2 linked regions of the Notamacropus eugenii genome follow. The protein of the gene in region 1 purifies or fractionates together with the protein of each later gene. This does not show direct contact. Links are inferred from orthologs where the notes say so. Each region holds a gene or a part of one and is shown on either strand. Other genes may lie near its edges.

Region 1 (7,710 bases):
TAATAAGGATTAATGCTAAAAATTTTTAAATTTTGTTTTGTATTTTCCCACTTCAGCAAAATGACTCCATTATATTCTGCTTTGGCTAACATTAAAGTCTGTCTAACCACACACTGACAGAGGCGGTATAGCAATCAATCTCTAATTAAAAACCTGCTGCAGTGTATCCAAATATTGTTAATCAAAATTTATAACACGCAGAAGTGGAAATAATCTAAGTCATTTGATCCAAGCCTGTTATCTTACATGAGGAAACTAAGGCCCAGAAAACTTAAGTGACTCACTAGAGGTAAGACATCCAAGTCTTTCCATTACACTATGATATCTCTTTCTATACTTCAGTTTGTGTTGCTTTTCATTTTAGGAACTGTCTTTCCCTATCCACTGAATTACTTAAGGAAAACTTCATAATTCCTTTCCTTCAGTAATCACCTTCACCACAACTCAGACCTAATAGGTCCCTTTACTTGCAATTCTTATGTATTTATGCATTATTTTATATTTGCTATTATTCTGCATCTCCCCAAATAGACTGTAAATGCCCTTAATGACAGGGACATTTACTTTATGATGACGATGAAGGGAAACCCCATGAGTCATTTATGTACACAGTAGCCTACAAACAGATTTAGAGTCTAAAGAAATAGAAGCTGCAGTTTTTCAGATTAATTATTTCTAGTCTTATCTCCTTCAGCTCTTTTAAAAATGTTTTTACTATACAACTTACATTATTCTTTAAGCCAACGAGACCTGACTTTGTTAAAATAAGAAAATATTTATTTTCAAAAGGAATACAACTATCTAAGTTTGAAAGCTAAACACAAAATCTCAAATATCTAAAACTTACTTTGTCCCCTGCATTTGGATTCTTATCAGGATGGTATTCCTTGGCCAACTTTCTATAAGCCTTAGAGAAAGGATAACAAAAAAATTACTCACAAAAACAGTTAAAACTATTTTAACTTGCACTTTTTTTGAGGAAGAATTTTAAGTAAAAAAATTCACTAAGCTTATATCCTAAATACGTACCTTTTTTCCGCCAGGATACTTATTTAAATTAACTCCAGTTTTAATATCATTTGTTTATGTAACCATAACATTCCCCAGTTACAATCACGGTTGAAGAGTTTTTAAAAATTGAGATACAAATAGAGAGAAGAAAATATAATGGAACATTGTTTCAGTCTCTCACTTACTCCTGGGTGCTTTATTGAAAAGAAACAAGAGGAAAAAGTTTCTAGTAATCTACATAAGTACTAATAGTTAATGAATATTCAGAACAGATCGTAAATAAGCTCTAGTAGATGCCCCTCCGCATCCCCCATACCAGGAACAGGGCAAAATGAAACTACTATAGGCTTACAACTCATTTTCATACAGGAATGCTCTGGGTAATTAAATCATGTCGTGATCTTTGGCTTGGTAGATTTGGAAATACATGTTAAACTATATGGTTAATGACTAAAGCCTTCACGCAGAGAAATGAATTATATAATAGTAAATCACTTCCGGTAAGGTGACAGGAAGCCCATTTTCAGAGATTTTACTCCCAGCAGTCCCTCAGCCTCATCGCCTAGGGCAATTCCATTTCAGCCAGCCCACAAATTTTGATGCAACATCTGAAGGATGCGGTGAGGATTAATTAAATATCTAAAGTGCTCTGAAATTCTCAGATGATAGACTGCACTACTACAAGTAACGAGGTCTTCCATTTTTTTTTTTTTTTTTTGGCGAGGGCTTCAAGTGTTTACTTCAGACGAAGTGCCAGTTTCATCCCAGCAGAACCGACAATTGGAATGACCAGGCTTCACAACAATGCACCCCAACGTGCCCATGTGCTACACCCCAGTTTAATCACCCATGCCGATGAGGCACTGCATGTTACGGAGCAGCAACATCGCCCACGGAAGCAGTTCTCGCCTCATTCCCAGCTGCTCCAATGTCAGCAGGAGCCCGGGGGCCAGGTGATGCCAGCAGCCTTTCCCCCTTAGTCCGCAGCCCTTGGGACCACGAGCAGAGAGGGCCCGGCGGAGGAGAAGCTTTTAGCTGATGACACAGGGGAAACATCCTTTCCCAACCAGCGTCCTCCCTCGTCCCAGGCACACACCCCTTTTATCGGTGGCTGCTTTAGTAAGGAGGGGGTAAAGGCCGGGCCGAGGATGCACCCAGGTGCGTGGGTTCAACCTGTTCTTCCAGGGGTGGTGACCTCGGCACCGGGATGCGAGGGAGGTGGGGCGGCTCTCGGGGCGGCCACAGGGCGGAGGTTTCAGTGCCCGGGCCTCGGGGGTGTTGCTCGTTTAGGGGAAGGTACTGCCTGAAAAACCGAGCGGGAGGCCCCAGGACAGCTCCCCGGGGAGCCCCGGCCTCCATTTCCGCCCGGCATCGCTGCTCCCAAGGTCAGTGGGATGAGCAGGATCCGGGGGGGCGGGGGTGGGGGGAGGCACCGGTGCGGCGGCGGCGGCAGGAAGCCGGAGGAGGAAGGGAGCCGCCTGGAGGCCGAAGCCGGGGCGCCGCATGTGGGCCCCAGCCAGGCCAGCTCCGCTTTCCCCGGCAGGCCCCGGCGCGGTCTCAAGCTCCGGACGCCGTACAGCCCCTCGAGCCGCCGGGCCGCTCTCCCCGCCAGGGCTGCCCAGCCCTAAACCTGCCCCGCGCCTGGGCCCGAGCCCAGGTCCTGGCCCCGCGCCGCCCCGCTCGCCCGCCGGCCGGCCGGCCCGCGCCGCACCGCCCGCGCATGCCGCTACCTTCTTCAGCTCGTTCTCGCTGGCGCCTGGAGGGACCCCGAGGATGTCGTAGAGCTTCGTATCAGCCACGTTCGCCATCGCAGGGCAGAGGGCGGGAGACGGCAGAAAGCGGCGGCGAACCCGGGCCCTGGAGAGGCGGCAGCGGCGACGGCTGAGGAGAAGGAGAAGCGAGAGGAGGTAGAGGAGGGAAGAGGAGGAGCTGAACTCCGACCTCACGTATAACGTCGGGAGCCAGCCCCGCCCCCTCGGTGCCGGACGCGGCGGCGCAGTCGAGCCCCTCCCCTCCAGGAGGTGGTTGGGACCGGCGGTTGGAGGGGGCAGCTGCGGGGGGCGGGGAGGGGACACCGGCTCGTGTTGGGGCGCTGGCTCCTCTGGACTAGAAGTCAAAAGTATCCGGCAGGTTTCTGGGTTTTGTTTGTTTCTTGGTGGTGCGAGGAAAATACTGGGAAAAACTTGAGAATGATTTTAGAGCTCCCCTCAAACTTGGTTATCCTCTCGGTCACGCGTCCTGGCCTGATCTCTCGACTTACAGATAGGGAAACTGAGGCTCAGAGAAGGGCAAGGTTTGACCCCCAACAGAATCCTTCCGTGTTTTTTAACGGCTGAAAGGTGTCTTAGGGATGCCCCTCAGCTTCACCGTCTTTCAGACCTGTGATTTATGCGTGGCAGCTCTCCCACTACTCGTGGTCCCAGAGAGTTCGTTGCCATGGTCCCACAGTTTGTGTGAAAGGCGGGACTTGAACCTCGGACTTCCGGATTGCCCCAGTCCATGCCCCCCTTGTGCTGCCCGACCTCCTGCTGTCATGGACTGCTTCTGTTTATTCGCTGCCCCGTCTCCACCCTGATGACTGTTGGGCCCACCTCCTGCCTTACGGGAAGCCCCTGTTTCATTATCTAGTTGGGGTTACCCTAGTCCTTTGTCACCCCGAACCCTTTGTTTCCCCCTCCCCCCCTTAAGCTTTACCTACCGCCTCCCGTTCTTCTGCCCTCCTTCATCTCCCTCTGCCTCTGGATGGCTTGTTCCCAGGACCTTCGGGCAAAACGAGCTTCCGTCTCTTTCTCGCTACCTTTCAGATTGGGTTTTTTTTCCTATTGGACTTAGTTTTATTCAGTTTTTGAAAGACACCCCCGCTCCCCCCATGGTGACCCCGTTTTACTTGCATTAAGAAAGAGGATGAGGAAATTGACTTTCTCAACTCTTCAAGTGTTGGTTTCCTGACTCTGAAACATGTTCCTAACTTTAGGGTGGTTAGAGGAATGTAGCTTTTCCCTTTGTTTTCGTTGTAAGCTGCTTGGTTATTTGTGAATAACATGCCAATAATCTTTGTTTTAGGAAATTGAAGCCAGCTTTGTCTCCCTTGGAATTACAAGACACTCATTCCACTTCAGTTAGATCCATGCTGCCTGTTTTCTACCACGTAGGAAAGTCAGAGCCCTTGGTGCTGTAACCACTCAACCTTTTCCACTCTCTACCTTTTGTCTTGAGGTGCCGCAAGCTCTGAAGCTCCAGATTTAGCCGGTGCCATTAAAAAGAAAGCCCTTTATCTCACTTCGCTTCTGGCATTGTAAAACGCTGAGTCACAGTGCAGCTGAGGACTGCAAGTGATTGAAAGTTCAAGTTCAGAGTCATTTCAAATTTCTGCCAGGTTTATTTTGTTGCTTCATTTCTTTATGTATTTATTTAGGGGATGGGAATGGGAAGGAAAAGGAAGGATACTGCAGCATTTGCAAAATGTTTGCTTATATAAGTTTAGTCCTGAAGCATTTGGTGTTGAAATATTTAGTTGCTTAAAGGAATTCTATATACCTGCTCCCAATTAGTCCTGAACTGGAAATAATGCTTTTTTCATTTCAGCAACAATTCTGAGATAAGGACAAGGAAACGGAGGCGTTTATCTAGTATCACACAGCTAATCTCTGGAGCTAGATTTGAACTCAGGTTCTCCTGACTAGGTCCAGGGGTTTTATCCACTGTGATGCCTAGCTGTGTGTGTTCTCTCTTCTCTTTTTTTTCCCTTTGCCTGCCTACCTACCTACCTATCTAATCCTATGATAAAGCCACTTATTTACGCAAGAGCTAGTTAATTAGCTAATATTTTTTAAGTACTATGCTAATATCTAGCTGTTAATGTTTATCTTCTAAGTCTGTATTTATCTTAACCCTGCTTGCCTCAGTTACTTATCTGTAAAATGAGGAGAAGGAAATGGCACACCATTCCAGCATCTGCCAAGAAAACCCCAAGCTAGTATTTTTTAAATACTATGCTAGTATGTAGCTATTTACATTTATCAAATGAAATAATTTATGTGTAGAGCTTTGCAAATCTTAAAGCAATATATAGTTATTTATATAACTTTTATATTTTTATATATTCATAAATTTGTATATGTATTTATATATTTATATATATATAAGTTGTTTCAATTAGGATTTTTAAAATGCAGTATAGAAGAGGTCCTAATTTTGTCTGCTGTATGGCAACACTATTGATCCAAGGCTGTGTTTTCTACCCTGAATGGGAAAGACAGAAGAATATACTTCTTTTCTCTCTTGGCCACACTGAACTGGCATTGCAGCAGAAGTTACTTTTGTCAATGCCAATTCAGAGAAAGAATGTGAAAATAGTAGGTAATGATAATGATTGAGTTTCTTTATGTTGCAGTTGCTAAATTTGACCAAAGATTAAACTGTAAACTAACTTCTTATAGTCATTAAGTTCTAAAAAACTCTTTTATTTCTAATAGAAGATGTCATATCTGTTTCCCTTTTCAGGGCAATGAATAGTGCATGCTTCATCAACTCTTATTAAAGTGTTAGATTTATGATCCTAACCAATTTTCTAAATACAAATGAAGAAGCTTTTTTGTTGTACCAATACTCAACTTGAAGAGTATGTTAGGTAGCTGTTTGAGAATGAATTTTTTTCCTGTAAAATATTATTAATCTTAATAAAACCTGTCTGAAAGTGCTGGCCACAGAAACTAAGACACTAAAGTGTGAAGGGTTGTAATATATTGGTTCTGATTCACTCATTGAAAGAATACCCATAAAATCATAGATTCTTAGAATCTTGAAGTAAGAAGGAAAATATCAGTCTGTAAATTTAAGATCAAGTCTATGAAAAATTTATGTCAGCCTTCTTGTTTGCAAAGGTGATATGACAAAGTTGAAAATGCCTTAGGAAGAGTTAATTGATCTTTCAACTTTTAAGAGATCACATTGTTTTTCCCTATATCATTCTCCAAGTCTGAATGTTGTTTATCTTTAGTAGTTTGATTTTAAAATAACTTGATTCATTCTAAAGAAAAGTTCACATTTCCTTTCAAGGAGTCCGTCACTGAGCCTGTTATGTGCCAGGAGGGCACCTACGTGGCACAGTGGATAGAAGACACGTTTCTGAGTTCAAATCTGACCTCAGGCACCTACTAGGTGTTTGACCCTGGGCAGGTCACTTAACCCTGTTTGGAGAAGGAAATGGCAAACCATTCCAGTGTCTTTGCCAAGAAAACCCCAAATGGGGTCACAAAGAGTTGAATGCAACTGAAAACGACTGAACAACAATATGTACTGTGGGTATACAAAGAGTCAAAAGAGAGTCCCTGTCCTCAAGCTTATAGTCTAAATAGGGAATCAACATGCAAACAAATATAAAGCAAGCTATAGAGAAGACTAATAGGAAATAATTAAGAGAGAGGGAAGGCACTTGAATTAAGAAAGGTTGGGAAAGGCTTCTTATTATAAGAAGACGGAGAGGTTAGTTGTCAGAGTGGAGGAGGGAGAGCATTTCAGGCATGGGGAACAGTCAGAGAATATGCCTGGTGCTGAGAGATGGAGTGTCCAGTTTGTGGAACAGCCAGGAAGTCAAAGTATATACCTGGGGCAGGCATGGGTCAGGGAGTAAGGTATTAGAAGATAATAAAGATAGGAGGGGTCCGATAGGAAGGTCTTTGAATACCAAACAGCCTTTCCAACTAGAAGGAGTTAACTTTGAAGAATCCTGATGGTAGAATTATTTATAATCAACCATTAACACCCAATATGTACTAGGCACTGTGCTGGGCTCTGAGGATTTGTTTCTTCAGTTATTTCAGTCATGTTCCACTCTGCATGATTCTGTTGGGGGTTTTTTCAGCAAAGATACTGGAGTGGCTTGTCATTTCCTTTTTCAGTTCGTTTTACAGTTGAGGAAATGGAGGAAAACAGGGTCAAGCAACTTGACCAGGGTCACACAGCTAGTAAATGTCTAAGGTAAGATTTGAACTCAGTTTTCCTGACTGTAAGCTCAGCACTCTACCTGTTCTCCCAATTAGCTGCCCTTAGGCTCTGAGGATAGATACAAAGACCAAAATGGACAGACCCTATTTTCAAGGCACTGATAGCCTATCAGGAGAGACATGCACTTAAGGTAGCATACACAAAATACATATAAAGTAAGTTTTTTAGGAGAGGGCACTTGACATGGTGATGGAAGGGCGAAGGGAGTGGGGAAGAAGGGGATCAAAAAAAGTTTCATATAGGTATTGCTTGAACCGAGTCTTTAAGGAGGTAAAGGTGAGGAGGGACTGCATTCCAGGTGTGGGGGCTATGCAGCACAAACACAGACACTAGAAATAGAATATTATGGGAGGAACATCAAGAAGGCCAGTTTGACTGGATTGTAAAGTGGGAAAGTGGAAGTCATAGAGTTGGAAACGTATATTGGGGCCAGGTTGTAAATTGCTTTAAAAGATAACCAGATCTTAAAGGAAATAGGGAACCATTGGAGTTTATTTATTAGGCTCTCAGGAAACAACTATCTAGAGTTAATATTTATCAAGGTAAGTTTTTGTCATCTGAGATTTAAGTTATTAGCCTTCACTTTTGATTTAGAGAAAGATACCTTGAAAATGTAAGAGTAGCAGCTTTGAATTACAGTTTCTAGGTTACAGTAATGAAGACATTACTTCAGTTATGACTTCAACTGGCAAA
Region 2 (7,043 bases), on another chromosome or scaffold:
CACACACACACACACACACACACACACACACACACACACACACACTTTTTATAATCCTTGCAACCTTTTATAATTCTTCCCACAGAAAGGCATAAGATTCCTACATACACAACACACACACACACTGTACACAATCTGTCTGCCACTGGGAGTTCCAAGGCTTCCCAACCACAGGATATTAGAATCTCCTGTCTAGGAAGAATTGGCCTACTCCAGCAGATGAAGAGACTGAGTCCACTGAGGGGAAATGGAATGCCCCAAAGTGACAAAGAGGTAGCAAAGCTGAGACTAACCAGGGACTGGTTTACCCATCCAGAAGATTGTTCCCCTCCCATCTCCTATGCACAAATCATATTCCTGGTAATGAGTTATCCCTTCTCAAGTCAGCCCCACTTCCCACCAGCCCAAGAAACTTGCTTCAAAGTTGCTTAGGTGAATTGCATCCCTTATTATTCAAATCTCAAAGCAAATTTTACCCCCTCCATGGCCTTCTCTGACCATCCCTGCCTCAAATTCTACCTCTTTCATTTGGCACACATCTTTTCAACTATCTATTATTCCCCTCAACTAGACTTTAAGAATTTTAAGCACAGGGAGCCTAATTTTAACTGTCATGGGTAAAGAAAAGTTCAATGTCTAGACCACAAATAGAGAAAGAGAAGGGCCAGTGATTCAGGAGAACCATACAGGCTCACAGAGTCAGAAAAGACCTCAGAGCCCATCTAGTCTGACACTCTTACAGATGAGAAAACTGAGGCTGGGGAGGTTTGCCTAAGGTCACACAGTGAGTGACAAAAATAGGGTTTGATTTCAGGCTCCCTGACTTTAGAACCGGGCTACTTTCAAGAGGGGATCTATGTCAAGATTGTGTTAGCTGGGAAAAAAACAGAGAAATCAGAGGGAGAAAAAAATCTGATATGTTACAGGTACTTCACAGTCTAATGTTGTGGTTCCCAACCTGAGGGCCAGGGAGTTTTTGCAAAGAAACTCCAGCCATCTCATTAGGCATCAACATTGTAAATAAGAAACAATAGTAAAGAAATAAGCAAATGTCTCTTACACTCTTTACTATTTTGCAAACTTACATAAGATGCTGTGATTAAAAAAGATACAAACTTAAAAGTATTGCTGAATTCACAGCAACTTTGTTACCATGCATTTCTCTCAATCAGGGATAATAGTACAACTACTATCCTGTAGGCGTCCACAATATTTGATGTTAAAAAGACTCCTCATACTTAAAAGCCTAGAAACCACTTGTTTAATAGAGAGATCACAGGCCTCTGAAGTGAGAGACTTGGGCTCCTGGCTTTGCCACTTAATAACTGAATGCCTTTGGTCAAATTACCTTTTTTCAGAGTTTCAATTTCAATAAAATGGGGATACCTATTCTCACCAGATTGTTGTGTGTATCAATTATGTATTCAGTATTTTACCACAAATGAAACTTGTTAAATGGTCCACACATTCAGGGTCCCTACTCCCCAAGGGCAGTAGCCAATGACCCAGGTAGGGGGTAATTAATACTCAAGAATCATTTGTTTCAGGGTCTGTTTCCTTTCTCATCTCTGTGCCTATAATTACCCAGAGAGGCCAGAAGAAAAGTTGAGACGGTTGCAAAGGAAGAGTGGCAGGACGCTTGCCCTGGGGACAAGATGAACCACATCCCTAGGTGAAAAGATTTGTTTCGGGGGTGAGGAGAGGAGACGAGATGAGGGTAGAGTAATCGGACTGCTTTACAAAGAAGCAGGTCTGAAGTCACAGAGAGAGAGAGACAGACAGAGAGAGAGACAGAGAGAGACAGAGAGAGAGACAGAGAGAGAGAGAGAGAGAGAGAGAGAGAGAGAGAGAGAGAGAGAGAGAGAGAGAGAGAGAGACAGAGAGAGAGAGACAGAGAGAGACAGAGACAGAGAGACAGAGAGCGAGAGAAAGAGAAAGTGTGTGAGTGTGTGAGTGTGTATGTGTGCGTGTGCGTGTGTGTATATTGGGGGAAGGGAGCAGTACTGTTCTGTTTGTTTTCTCTGCCTGTGTCTGTGTGATCCCTCGGTTCCCAAGCTGCCCCAGTCATAGTTCTCTCTACCACCGACCGGCCGCAAACATCCCAACTACCTTTGCCCTGTCCAGCAACTCCCAGCATCAGTTAGCAAAGCAAAACAAACCTATTCTTCCACTCCTAAAATGCTGTGCCCCCATTCCGGGGACACTTCCACGGCAGGGTGGAGAGGGAGGAAAAGGGAGTGAAGGCTGAGAAAAGGGGAGAGAAGGCAGAGAGTTCTTCCCCTCTCTCTTACACAGAGGGAAATTGTCGGTTGGGGAATATGGGGAGTCAGAGAGTTGGACTGAGGGAGGGGAGCGGGGCAGTTGAGATTGTGCATTCGGATCCCCAGCCCGAGAGTGAATCAGCTTCCAAGGGCCCTAGCTTCCACACCCACTTCCGAGGGGCACGAAGGGTGGGTGGGTTAGGGTCTTTCTGCCCCGGGGCTCTCACTTCTCGGACTGGGACGTCGTTAGGGCGAAGAGCTAAGTCCAGTCCCCCCAACGCCCCAGCCCCTCCTAGCCCAACGTGGCTGCTCCTTTCCTCCTTCTCCTCTTCCTTCCCCCCACCTCCCCAAACCCACCGCACGCCCCCCATCTCAGGCAGCTTTTGCTCCAGCCCGGCCGCCGCCCCCCTTCCCCCGCAGTCCATCCCCTCACCTTGTTAAATGCAAAGAGATCCTGCTTGATCTTCTCTCTCTGGGGGTCGTTGCCCTGCCGCCTGAACCGAAACTTCATCATCTTGGGCTGCGGAGCCGGACGTGGGTCTCAGGAGGAAGGGTTCGGAAACAATGTAGCACCGGCCTCTCCCCCCCGCACCCCCCCATGCAAGAAGCCCCCAGCGCGCCCTCCTCGCGGGAGCCTGGGCATCCAGCGGCGCTGCCCCGCTGCAAAACCCGGGGGAAGCCGGAGGCGGAGGGGAGGGGGCCGCAGGAGCAGGAGGAGCAGAAGTGGAAGAGGGGAGGTGGGGGTTAGGAGGAGAAGGCGGGGAGAAAGAGAGAAGGTGGGAGTGACGGACGCGCCGCCCGACCAATCAGCTCTACTCCCTGCAACGCCCTCCGTCCCCCCTCCCCTCGCCCCGCAACTCCCGCATCCCGAAGCCAGACAATGAGAGAGGCAAAGGCCCGGGGTTTGCCCGGCTCCGCTTTCCTTAGCGAGCATGTGCCAAGGCCGCGCGCCTCGCTGGGAAATGTAGTTTTCCCGGGACCAAGCCTGCGCCTGCGGATCGCTTGTGCGTGCTGGGTGGGGGGTAGTCTTTGATTTTTTTCCTCTCCACCAGTGCAGGGCCTGCCTGTTGTTGGTGTGTGATTGGGGTTTGGGATTCTTTTTTTCCTCCCCCTCTTGGTGCGTTGTTGCTTTTCCCCCTTCCTCTCCCTGTAACGCAGCCCGAGGATTGGCACGCCATGTCCCAGCTTTGGGCCAGGGACTGAGATGTTTGACTTGAACTTTGCGGAGGACTGTAGGGAGAACTGTGCCATCGAGGTGCTGGGCTGTGAGCGGTAGCTTGGGCTGAGTGGGAGGCTCGCTTTCATATCCCATTAGCCCGCAGTGGGGCACAGAGGGGAGACGTGGAACTAGGAGATCGGGTTTCGAATCCAGCACCTGCCGGCTTTCTTGACTCCAGGGGAGTCACTTCTTTTTATAAAATGATCATAATATCTGCCCTTCCCGCTTTGCAGGGCTATTGTGAAGACTGGCTCCGTTGGATAAAGAATACGTACAAAAGGGATAGCGATTCGGAATCAGAATCTCAAGAACAACTCAAAACTTGTTTTGAGGAGAAATTATAACAATATCCTGCATCCTAGGGCTCAAGAACTTTTAAAGCGCTTTTCATATCTACTTTCCCACTTGATCTTTACAAGAACAGTAAAGTCCCAGTAGGTCAGGAGAAGTTTATGCCCATTTCATAGATAAAGACGTTCAGGGGAAGTTAAGTGACGCAGTAGGAGACAAAGCCAGAGCTAGGATTGGAAAGTGCTGGATTTGGAGACCGAAGACCTGGGTTCCAATCCTTGTTATGTTTACTACCTGTGCAACCTTGGGGAAGCTACCTGACCTCTATGGGCTTTGGTTTTCGCATTTGTTGTATCAGATTGACCTCTAAGGTCCCTTTCGGCTCTTACTTAACGTGTGATCCTATAATGTGATATTGGACATGAAGATCATATCTCCTTTTAGTGTGGAAGATCCTGGGAGTGCAGGAACTATCCTAGTTAGCACAGCATTGTTGTGAAAGCTGACAGTTCCCAGGCCAATGAACAAGCCAGGATACCACATTCCATCCATGTTAAGACAATGTAGAATGTCATCATGAGAAGAGATCTTATCAGTTACCTAGTCCAACTCTCTTATTTAATGGATGAGGAAACTGAGACACAAGAGATGAAGTGATTTGCCCACCAAGGTCACATAATGATCGTGGGCTACTTAGAATATCTCCAGGCTTCCAGTACTGGACTTTCCCCCCCAGCATAGGGTTTCTTCCCTTCCTGGCCCCAAGGACATTTTGAAATGTGTTCTACCTAAGCTAGATGTATTTCCAATAAGATCAGGGTGAAACAAGGATGTCCATTATCACCACTGTTATTCAATATGGTATTAGAAATGCTAGCTGAAGCAATAAGAGAAGAAAAAGAAATTGAAGGAATTAGAATAGGCAAAGAAGAAACTAAGTTATCACTCTTTGCAGATGATATGATATATTTAGAGAATCCCAGAGTATCAAGTAAAAAACTACTTGAAATAATAAACGTCTTTGGCAAAGTTGCAGGTTACAAAATAAACCCAGACAAGTCATCTGCATTTCTATATATTACTAACGAAGTCCAACAGCAAGAGATAGGGAAATCCCATTTAAAGCTATAGTAGACACTATAGAATATCTGGGGGTCTGCCTGCCAAAACAAACCCAAGGAATATATGAACATAATTACAAAACACTTCCCACGAATAAAGTCAGATCTAGGTAAGTGGAAAAACATCAGTTGCTTGTGGGTAGGCCAAGCTAATATAATCAAAATGACAATTCTACCTAAATTAATTTACTTAGTGCCATAACCATCAAACTACCAGATAATTATTTTCTAGAGCTAGAAAAAATATCAAAATTCATCTGGAAGAACAAAAGGTCCAGAATATCAAGGCAACTAATGAAAAGAATTGCTAGGGAAGGTGGCCTAGCCCTACCAGATCTCAAATTGTATTATAAAGCAGCAATCATCAAAACCACTTGGTACTGGCTAAGAAACAGAGGGGCAGACCAGTAGAATCAGTTAGGTACTCAAGACACAGTAGTTAATGAATATAGCAATCAACTGTTTGATAAACCAAAGGACCCCAGCTTCTGGGATGAGAACTCACTGTTTGACAAAAATTTCTGGAAAAACTGGATAGCAGTGTGGCGGAAACTGGGCATAGATCAATGCCGGACACTGTACACAAGAATAAAGTCCAAATGGATACATGATCTAGGTATAAAGACTGATACTATAAACAAATTAGGGGAGCAAGGAATAGCATATTTGTCCGATTTATGGACAATGGAGAAATTTATGACCAAACAAGAGATAGAGAACATTATGAAATGCAAAATGGATAATTTTGATTACATTAAATTGAAAGTTTTTGCACAAACAAACTCAATGCAACCAAGATTAGGAGGGAAGCAGAAAACTGGGAAAGAATTTTTGCAGCTAGTATCTGTGATAAAAGCCTCATTTCTAAAATATATAGAGAACTGAGTCAAATATACAAGAATACAAGTCATTCCCCAATTGATAAATGGTCAAAGGATATGAACAGGCAGTTTTCAGAAGAAGAAATTAAAGCTAGCTATAGTCATATGAAAAAATGCTCTATTGATTTAGAGAGATGCAAATCAATACAACTCTGAGATTCCACATCACACCTATCAGATTGGCTAACATGACAAAACAGGAAGATGATAAATGTTGGAGAAGATGCGGGAGAGTTGGCACACTAATTCATTGTTGGTGGAGCTGTGAGCTGATCCAGCTATTCTGGAGAGCAATTTTGAACTATGTCCAAAGGGCTACAAAAACATGCATACATTTTATATACATACATGCATTTTTCTGGTAGACTTAGTACTTCATTGCAATGCAAGGACTTAAAAAATTTCCAGTGGACTCTTGAGCCAAAATGCCTTCCACATCCAGAGAAGGAACTATGGAATTGGATTGCAGACAGAAGCAGTCCATTTTCTTTTGTATTATGTTTTGTTTTGTTTTATGGTTTCTCCCATTCATTTTAATTCTTCTATGCAACATGCATTTAATAGGAATGTATATGTAGAACCTATATAAGATTGTATGCCTTCTCAGGGAGAGAGTGAGTGGGGAGGGAGGGGAGAAAGAGGGGAAGGGAGAGAAAAAAAATCTAAGATATATGGAAGTGATTATCAAAAACTGAAAACAAATAAAATAATTTAATTAAAAAAAAAAAAAGAAATATGTTCTACCTGGGTCTGAGGAGGTCCCTATGCTAAAGTGTGTGTGTGTGTGTGTGTGTGTGTGTGTGTGGTGTGTGTGTGTACTACTTTTGTTTTTTCTTGGCGGAAGGATTGTTGAACAGTGATCAGTGCTGTTACCCACTGATTAGAGGTAGAGAAAGGTACCCATCCCTGAAACACACACACCTTAGTGATGATTTTGATGCGGTCTTAATGGGACCATTGTAGGGATTGTAAAAAGAGATGTGTTTTTGTTTTGTTTCAATCTCATCTATAGCTCCAATTGATGGAGGAATGAGTGAACAAATTGTGGCATAGAAATTGTAATGGAATATTGTCAGGCAGAAAGAACGATAAATATGAGGAATTCAGAAAAATGTGGGAATATTTGTATGAAGTAATATGGAAAGCTATAAGAACCAAAGAACAGTATTCACAGCTACAACGATGTAAGTGAAAAGGAAATAATCAGGTAAAAAAATTAATAATATCATTGTCGAGAAAATAATGAAGCATAACTCCCTCTATGTTTACT

The links. The genes of interacting proteins can lie anywhere in the genome.
Region 2: the proteins of DNAJA2 (region 1) and LLGL1 purify together in Homo sapiens (co-immunoprecipitation; 3 studies listed by BioGRID and IntAct, with this or other methods). This does not show direct contact. The link is inferred for Notamacropus eugenii from reciprocal best matches to the Homo sapiens genes DNAJA2 and LLGL1.

What each region holds. Positions count from the first base shown.
Region 1 is NC_092872.1:461,624,304-461,632,013, forward strand, and holds the start of DNAJA2 (dnaJ homolog subfamily A member 2), read right to left. Parts: upstream 3,008-7,710; 5' UTR 2,820-3,007; coding exon 2,742-2,819; intron 908-2,741; coding exon 848-907; intron 1-847. UniProt on the Homo sapiens protein: Co-chaperone of Hsc70. Stimulates ATP hydrolysis and the folding of unfolded proteins mediated by HSPA1A/B (in vitro).
Region 2 is NC_092874.1:335,641,946-335,648,988, reverse strand, and holds the start of LLGL1 (lethal(2) giant larvae protein homolog 1), read right to left. Parts: upstream 3,021-7,043; 5' UTR 2,776-3,020; coding exon 2,695-2,775; intron 1-2,694. UniProt on the Homo sapiens protein: Cortical cytoskeleton protein found in a complex involved in maintaining cell polarity and epithelial integrity. Involved in the regulation of mitotic spindle orientation, proliferation, differentiation and tissue organization of neuroepithelial cells.